2 linked regions of the Saccharomyces cerevisiae S288C genome follow. Changing the gene in region 2 together with the main gene of any one other region gives a genetic interaction. Each region holds a gene or a part of one and is shown on either strand. Other genes may lie near its edges.

Evidence for each region.
Region 1: mutations in KNH1 (region 2) and QDR2 are lethal when combined (synthetic lethality), as found in Saccharomyces cerevisiae (one large-scale study listed by BioGRID).

Annotation. Positions count from the first base shown.
Region 1 is NC_001141.2:130,092-134,505, reverse strand, and holds QDR2 (cation transporter), read right to left. Parts: upstream 2,263-4,414; coding exon 634-2,262; downstream 1-633. Other genes in the region: QDR1 (multidrug transporter), read right to left, coding at 1-89; POG1 (Pog1p), read right to left, coding at 2,841-3,896. UniProt on the Saccharomyces cerevisiae protein: Multidrug resistance transporter involved in resistance and adaptation to quinidine and to the herbicide barban (4-chloro-2-butynyl [3-chlorophenyl] carbamate). Implicated in potassium uptake.
Region 2 is NC_001136.10:364,537-368,056, forward strand, and holds KNH1 (Knh1p), read right to left. Parts: upstream 1,339-3,520; coding exon 532-1,338; downstream 1-531. Other genes in the region: tRNA maturation protein LHP1, read left to right, coding at 1-243; STP4 (Stp4p), read right to left, coding at 2,203-3,520. UniProt on the Saccharomyces cerevisiae protein: Involved in cell wall beta(1->6) glucan synthesis.

The sequences.
Region 1 (4,414 bases), on a different chromosome or scaffold from region 2:
GATCTGTCCACATTATTATTATCAGATCCTTCACGTTCTTCCTTGGCTATAGATGCGTTACGCATTACAGAAGTTTGTTGTTTGGTCATGATTTACTTATAGAAGTCTCTTCATGAGCTATCTGTTATTTTTTTATTAATAGAAGATGGTAGTGCTAAGAGATTATCACTTTTTTTAAGCAAGAATAAGTTCCTTTGAACGCTGATTGCTTGCTTACTTTTTTTGTTGTAAGAAGATTTTTTTGCTACAGTGATAGAGATTCTTCAAACCTTTCAGCTTCACCATGGTTTTATCAACTAGAAGAAACTCCAAGATCAGAAGATGAGATAAAGGGTCCGTTAACAACCGGGCCAGAAACATGAAACCCGAATCTCCGAATTTCGCACCTCCAGCATATTTTCGGCCTTGGCAAAAAATGGCGGAGAATAATAAAGGCAAAACTCAGTACTAGCCGTTCTATGTTAGTGAATCGTGCTGCTAACTCTAATTTTAGTTATTACAGAGTTCAGATTAAAAAAAAAAAAATACTTACTATTACTTTCTATTTGAGAAGACTTATCACACCAATTCCTCTTTCTCGGTAGTGGAGCGATCAAAAGGAACATTTTCCTTTGATTCAAGAAGCTTTACTTCTTAATTTACTCCCAGTTCTTGCTTTTTCCTCTTAAAGGCTAATTCTTTACCTTTTCTCAAGAGAATAAATAAGAGGATCGATGACGAGGAGGTTAAAGCCCCCAAAAATGTAAAAACACCTCCGAATTTCATTTTTTCTACCATTTTACTCAATGCAGCTATAAACACAGCAGATAGAATGCATCTGAAAAGGTTTAAACATCCCGTAGCCGTAGATGTCTTCGTGGGAAAAAGATCAACTATTAGAGTTGTTGAAAAAGTCAAAATGCAATTGGAAAACAGCGACGCAAATCCACTCATGCAAAGAACGGCCGCTAAAGGGGCTTTGACAGTAATGCACCATCCGTACGCACAAAATCCGCTACTGCTTAAAAGCAAGGTAACAAATGCGGGTTGCAACCTCGCCTTGAAGATATTAAAGGTGTATTTGGGATCATTTTCTATGATACGTTGCACCAAATTAAGGTCGTTGTCGTGTTCTTCTAAAAGCTTTGATCTCTTCTTGCCCAACCAATTTTGGTAATATTTTAATCTGCGCCTGTAATTCCAATTCAAATATCTTCCAGCAATGACAATACTACATAATGTGCAGATACCGGAGGGAAGGTAGCATAATCCTACCTTTGCAACAGTCAAGTGATATTGTTTACTCAAAGCTGTGGATAACGCCGTAAGGTGCGTAGTATACATGGCAAATTGTAATCCAGCGACTAGCATAAGTATACAAATTTCATAAGCTTTCAAAATCTTGAAGGGCGCCAGTAGATTTAGTTGCGTGGGCAGTTCCAATGTTTCGTAATCTGGATTATCCAAATGCAATGATTTTCTTACTGTTGGCAAAACAAGAATGGGAGCTCTATTTAAGTATGATTTTGGGGTGACAGAACCATTCCCGGATATGTTCCTCTTTGTTTCTGGCAAAATTAAAAACGAGGCTAGGAAGCAAATGCCAGATCCAATTGCTAAGAACCAAAAGATGGCTCTCCATCCCCATCTAGATGATAATCCGGCACCGATAAGGGCTCCGAACGCAGAACCTAGAACTTGAAATCCAGCAACATATCCAACGTACCCGCCGCGCTCGGCTCTAGTAGTAACATCTCCCATTATTCCGCTGTTAATCGCAATCACGGGTGAAATACCGGCGGCTTGTAGACATCTTAGCACAATGATCTGAGCATACGTTTGAGCACAAGCAAGACCGATGCAGGCACCAAAATAAATGACGATTGCGACAAGCACCACCGGTCTCCTGCCCAGTGAATCGGCAAACCCGCCCATGAATGTGGGGGCAAGACCCTGAAATACAAAATATACTACAACAGTGACATTCACCAATTCCTCGTCAATATCGAATTTTCTTTCTATAACGCTCAGAACTGGATAGTAGATGGCACCTGCTATTGTGGAGAAAAACCCAGTGAAAGCGCACTGAGCTATTAAAACTGTCTTGAAAGAACGGGAAAAGCGTGAGTGAGGCGGAGCGGTTATCTCCGGTTCTGGCTTTACACTCTCGGTCCTAGTCAAAGCCAATTTGTCTGCAGTTTCTCTATTATATGACTGCATACTCTCCGCAAGCTCGTCCTCAAAATCATTTTCCCGAATTATACTTGATGTTGCTCCTGCCATCGTTGCAGTACTCAAGTTTGAGAGCAGAGTTTCTACTAAAATGACCAGCAACTGACTTGCCGTTTTTACAATGTATATTTATATACCCCATTATCTAGAGATTGCTTCTTTATCTAGGAAAAGATGGTGACGCCGTTTATCTGTTCTGTAACCGCCATTACTATTTTCATCAGGGCCAACAAAAAAAAGTCCAGTAGCTCATACGACATCATCTGAGCCAAGACACATTTTCTCGAGAAAAATGTGGTGAAAGGCACAGATTTGGGGGGGAGGTCAGGATGCTGAAAAATTATTACCTCCGTCTTACGACCGCTCAGACGGGTAAGAACACCGGGGGTGGACAAGACAGTTAAGCAGACTGAATCCAAAATGACAGCATATATTATCAATATCCTGTTTATTCATGATTGAAATGAGATAAGGAGTAAAGGCAAAGAAATCGTAATAATAACACTGTAGCATATATATGGATATATATTTTTTTTTGAACTGAAGTAAGGTGGACGGATGCATCGAATGAAGGTTAGGAAGGGATATAGTTTTAGAAATTAGGTGATAAAAATGAAAATTACTGCACGTCATGTGGGAGGAGGATGTTTTGGTGTATGAATGAGAAAATTGACGGGCCTTTGGGACGAAGCCGGCTGGGGATTTCGCATGGGCGACCTAAAATTTGCCATGGAAATATTGGCACTTTGTGACCTTCTATGACTAAAACTTTTTCTTGACTGGTCTCGTTCCTGACCAGGTTGCAGCTGGTGCTGCTGCCCGTATATATTTGCCTGTGGGCCCATACTCATTACCGGATGAGCACCTATATTTTGTTGGTAAAGGCCATGCTGGTTCAAGGAAAGAAACTGTGAGCTCATCACTGGTGTCTGGGACTCCGAGTTTGAGCTCATTGTAGGAAGCTGAGCTTGTGGTCCCATCCCTGGTGGATATAAATACTGCGGCATTATCTGTTGCACTTGTGGTTGCGGAGGTTGCATATACGGGTTGCTCATCCACTGATTTGCAGGCATAGGTAAAGTATATGCGCCTGGTTGCTGGTGTATTTGAGGGTATCCGACCCCTGTCTCAACTTCTGACACTGTAGGTATATCAGATCTATATCTTCTATGGCCTCGTGGACTTGCAAGTTCGGAGGCGTTTATCTTGCGTTTCTTTGTCGTTATCGGAGACGGTATCGTAAGATGATTGTTGTTATCATTATTTGTATCTCTATTCATGGACATATCAAGAATCTTGTTTAATGTCGAATCACTTATTTTATCACTTTCCATACATTTATCAATAATCTGGTTTAGTTTCGCAAGATTTGACTCGCGTATCTTTTCTAGTTCTTTTGTGTCGTTTATCAATCGTACGTTTAAAAATTGCTCCACTAGGCCAGTGTCGCATGCATTTAGTTCTTGAATATCGTCAAACCCAAGTTGTTTTAATATTCTTATTCGAAGCGATAGAGACTTTTCTGTTTGCGATGATTCCACTGGTCTACTGTTGGTACTCTCGTCTCCTGTACTAGCTGTCACGGTTGTACCAGAAGATAATGAGGTATGCTGCTCTCGTTCAACAGCCATTGGTCCTTTCGGCTTCTCTTTTTCTTCGGATTGTCTATGTGGCTCCTGCTTCATAATATGGCATCCACTTTGATTTTCGTCTTTACTTATTTTTTTTCAATTTCTGCAATTAATCGTGGGACTCTTGAAATGTTTTGCGCCTTTTTGTATGAGTTAAGCGCAGGGATTGCACGCAATTTATTTCCTCTTCTGCGTAGCCTTTAAAATACGCGAACCTTAAGTGATATCAGTACGCGATTTGATCTTAGTTTTACTTATCTGTTAAAATAAGATACCTTGGGTTCCCAGTGTCTTTTCTACTATTGCTTCACACCTTATTATTTTTGTGCACTTTTGCTTTTATGAGAATAGGCAGTGCATACCTTTTAATTTCTTAGCACTCTGAATTTTCCAACCTCTACGAAAAAAAAGGAAGAACTTACAAAGTTCCCCCATCTGAAGCAGTAAATTTCCAAAAATTTTTTTCACCATCCGCATTTTCCCTTTTTGATCCACAATTGCCCAAAACAGTAATATTTTACGGGTAATGGCGGGGCAAAGCTCATCTCCGCAGATCCTCTTCGCGCCGACAG
Region 2 (3,520 bases):
GATGAGTCCAACGAAATTTTGTCATATGAAGGTAAGAAACTGAGTGTTTTGACGAAAAAACAGTTTGATTTACAGAGAGAGGCCTCGAAGTCCAAAAACTTCAGCGGTAGATCAAGATCCTTTAACGGCCATAAGAAGAAAAACTTGCCTAAATTCCCCAAAAATAAGAAGAAAAACGGCAAGGAAGAGTCAAAAGAGGACTCTTCTGCCATTGCCGATGACGATGAGGAGCACAAGGAGTGATTCTTGTGTTTCTTCTGGTTCTCGTATCTCATTATCATAGCATATTAAGAATATATGTACTAACATATGTACTAAACAGAAACACAATATGAATTACAACTAATACTATATTATTTGTCTCCTTTTTTTATTAGTATTAAAAATTACCGTTACTGGTTAAAATGGAATACAGCTCATCCATTTAAAAAAAAAAAAAAATAGAATAACAATAATTAAGCAGAAAAAATGTTAACGAATATAATAAATCGATTTGTCCATTTTCATAAATTTTTTTTTTGTATTATTTCATTATCTGTGCCTCAAAGCATTAACTTTTCTTGCAGTCAGAGAGAGTCTCTTGCGTGGATTATACCAACCGCCATTATCAGCCGGCATAGGGGCCGGCGTAGCATAGTTACTATCAGCTGTAATTATGTATGACCACCCTGGTGTTACGGTAGTATGTTGATCAACGGAGTTTCTTAAAGTGTAGTAATACGTTACCTCACTGGTCGCGTACTTCCTTTTCCATGTCTTTGCTGTTACCTTAGTAGCCGGTTGGAGTTGCATGGGAGCATATTTCACAACACCTGTTTGTAAGTTGTAGGGAACGGTGAAACTCTTAGAATCAATCGTGGCACCCACATCTCCTGTGGTAATTCTTGTTTGTGCCTCTGGTGCAATGGTTATCATACTCGGATTAGCGGCTTTTGTACCAATCATCCCTTTTAGTTTAAATCTGTTAGTGTAATGAATGGTGTAACCGATAGCTGTTTGCGCAAAGACTTGTATGAAGTAAACACCGTCCGTCCCAACGGTGTTTTCTATTATCGCATTGAACTCGTTGTCTGTCAGATCACTCGCACTGAGTGTTTGAAGAGTAGCCATTGCTTCTATCATGGCATTGGTACCCGAACACAGAGTAAACGTGTATCTGACAAAATCCTTTTCCTGTGGTGTGTTATCTGTATGCATCCACTTTACTTTGACAACAGCCTGACTTGTACCAGATAAATCATAAACTGAGTTGGGTTCTGGAGCCACAATGGCCACATCACAATAAGCTGTTCGGAACACTACCGAACAAAATAATGTTAAGAATAATACTATCAGCATACGTTTTACGTAATTGATTTTTTATTATTGTTACCTACCTAAGAAGTCGACGTAATACTTGTATACTTTACTTTTTACTTCTGTGCAACTTTCATCGATACGTTTTTATAAATTTACGTAACTAACTACCTCATGTAATATTATACATGAACGAGCACATAATGTCCAATGTCCCTTACATGTTCGTACTTTCAAAAAAGAAAGAAGAAAATTGGTGAAGAGGAAATGTGCTTTTCTGTTGGAGTTGGTCAACAATATGATGAGGAAGAAGGGAAAGCCGCAAAGACTGGATTTACGCAATGGACTACATTCTCATGTGAAAAAAAGAAGTGCTGCTTCGAAGGTTCGCGACCCTTTCAAGGGACTCGCCGCGATGCAGAGAAAAAAAAAAGAAGAGATAACGTGGGGGCAGCTAAAAAAAGACGAATCGATAATGAGTCCATGACTTGAGCCGGACGGACTTATAATTCGATTCGGGCCTAGGCTTGTACAGCTGAAATAGTGTACAATATAAGGAACTAAACGATCGGAGACCAATCGGAGAGCCGGCAGTTGAATCAGGTGCTTCATCACTGGCATAACCTATCCGCAAACGGCTGATGCAGGTCTCAACGCCCTTCTGGTAAAATCAAAAAAAGTAAAAAAAACGGCTCATGCCAGCTTGCTTCCTGTCAATAGCGGTTGTTGATTTTTTCGCTTCATGCCTAAAAAGAGAAACGAGACACAGAGAGAAAACAAGAATCTAGATTAATAACGTAGGGCAGCGTAACAATAATTTACGCAGAAATGATGTGTATTATTAGGGCATAAATAAATAAATGTATGTATGTGTGTGTATGTATGAGTCGGTGAATGACTTTGGTTTTAGTGATATGAGTAGCCACATCCTTTCCCCACGTGCTTATTTAGCCAGACGTCAACGTTCGGAAATTGCAGTCCACAATGCTTGCACTTCCCCGGCACAACACCTCTATCTTCTTTCTTGGTCTTGGGCGGGTACTCGAAATGCAAAGCCTTTAGGTGATTCTTGAAAGTATCACAGCGCGAAAAAACGCCCGTTTGATGACAGTTTATTGGCTCGAAATAGAGTGATCTAGACTTGTGTGGATACACCTCCATATCCAAATTGATCAGAGTAGAGTTGTAAGGACACTTGAATGCACCTTTAATCTTGTATAGTGATTTCAATTGGTTTTTCTTCAGTAGTTTTGTTTCTTCGGAAGAGGATGAGGCAGCGAGTTTATCGTTTGAGTCGTCGCTGTCGTTGTTTGCGGAGGTGCGGGCAGTGTCATCTTGATCGTCAGCACCACTATTGTTGTCGGACTCCCTTGCGTATATTTGCATAAATTCATCTTTCCAATGGCGCTTCTTGTGCCTTATCAGATCATTGTTCCTGGCAAAGCCGCGTTGACAGATAGGGCACTTATGCGGTCTGTCCTCCGGAGTTAAATGAGTGGATTTATGCGTAGATAGGTTGGCGTAGAAGTTGTGGCAGATGGGGCATTCCTTTTTCTTTCTTTGCTTCGTTATCTTGGCGGAATCCTTTAAAGACGATGAATACCTGCTTGTATGTTCATTAGTCAATGGGGAATGAATAGACGGTAGTGCAGAGGCACTACTACTACTGTTGAGTTGCTGTTGCTGTTGTTGTTTGACGATCAAAGGTGGGAATCCACTAACGGGTAGGCTGGACACGGATTTTGATCTCGGTACGTTATCTACCGCGGTTGGCAATATACTCTGGTGTTGAGTTGGTGGTGAGGGGGTGATGGTTTTGAAACCCGTTGTGTTGTTAGGGTTGCAAAATGTTAGCTCATGTCTGTGATGATCTAGCACTGTTCTTGGCACCGGTGATGTAAAATTGGCATGCAAGGAATTTGATCTGCCGTTAAATTCTCTTTCTGCAACTGTAATTAAATTGGTGAAGGAGGATATGGGTGGCAAAATGACATGGCTTGAGCTGTTGGATGACAGCGGTGTTGGAGAAAGGCTATGAGGGAAATAGCATTTGGAATTATGTGCCAAGGCTGTATTGTCTGTAGGCGAACTCGTGATAGACTGGCATGCAGAGGAGTTATAAGAAGAGTATGATGTAGTTAATGGGGGAGGTGGAGGAGAATTCAGTGTAGAACTGAGGGTAGAGCGCGAAGACGACGTAGTACTGGACAACAATGGCAGTGAT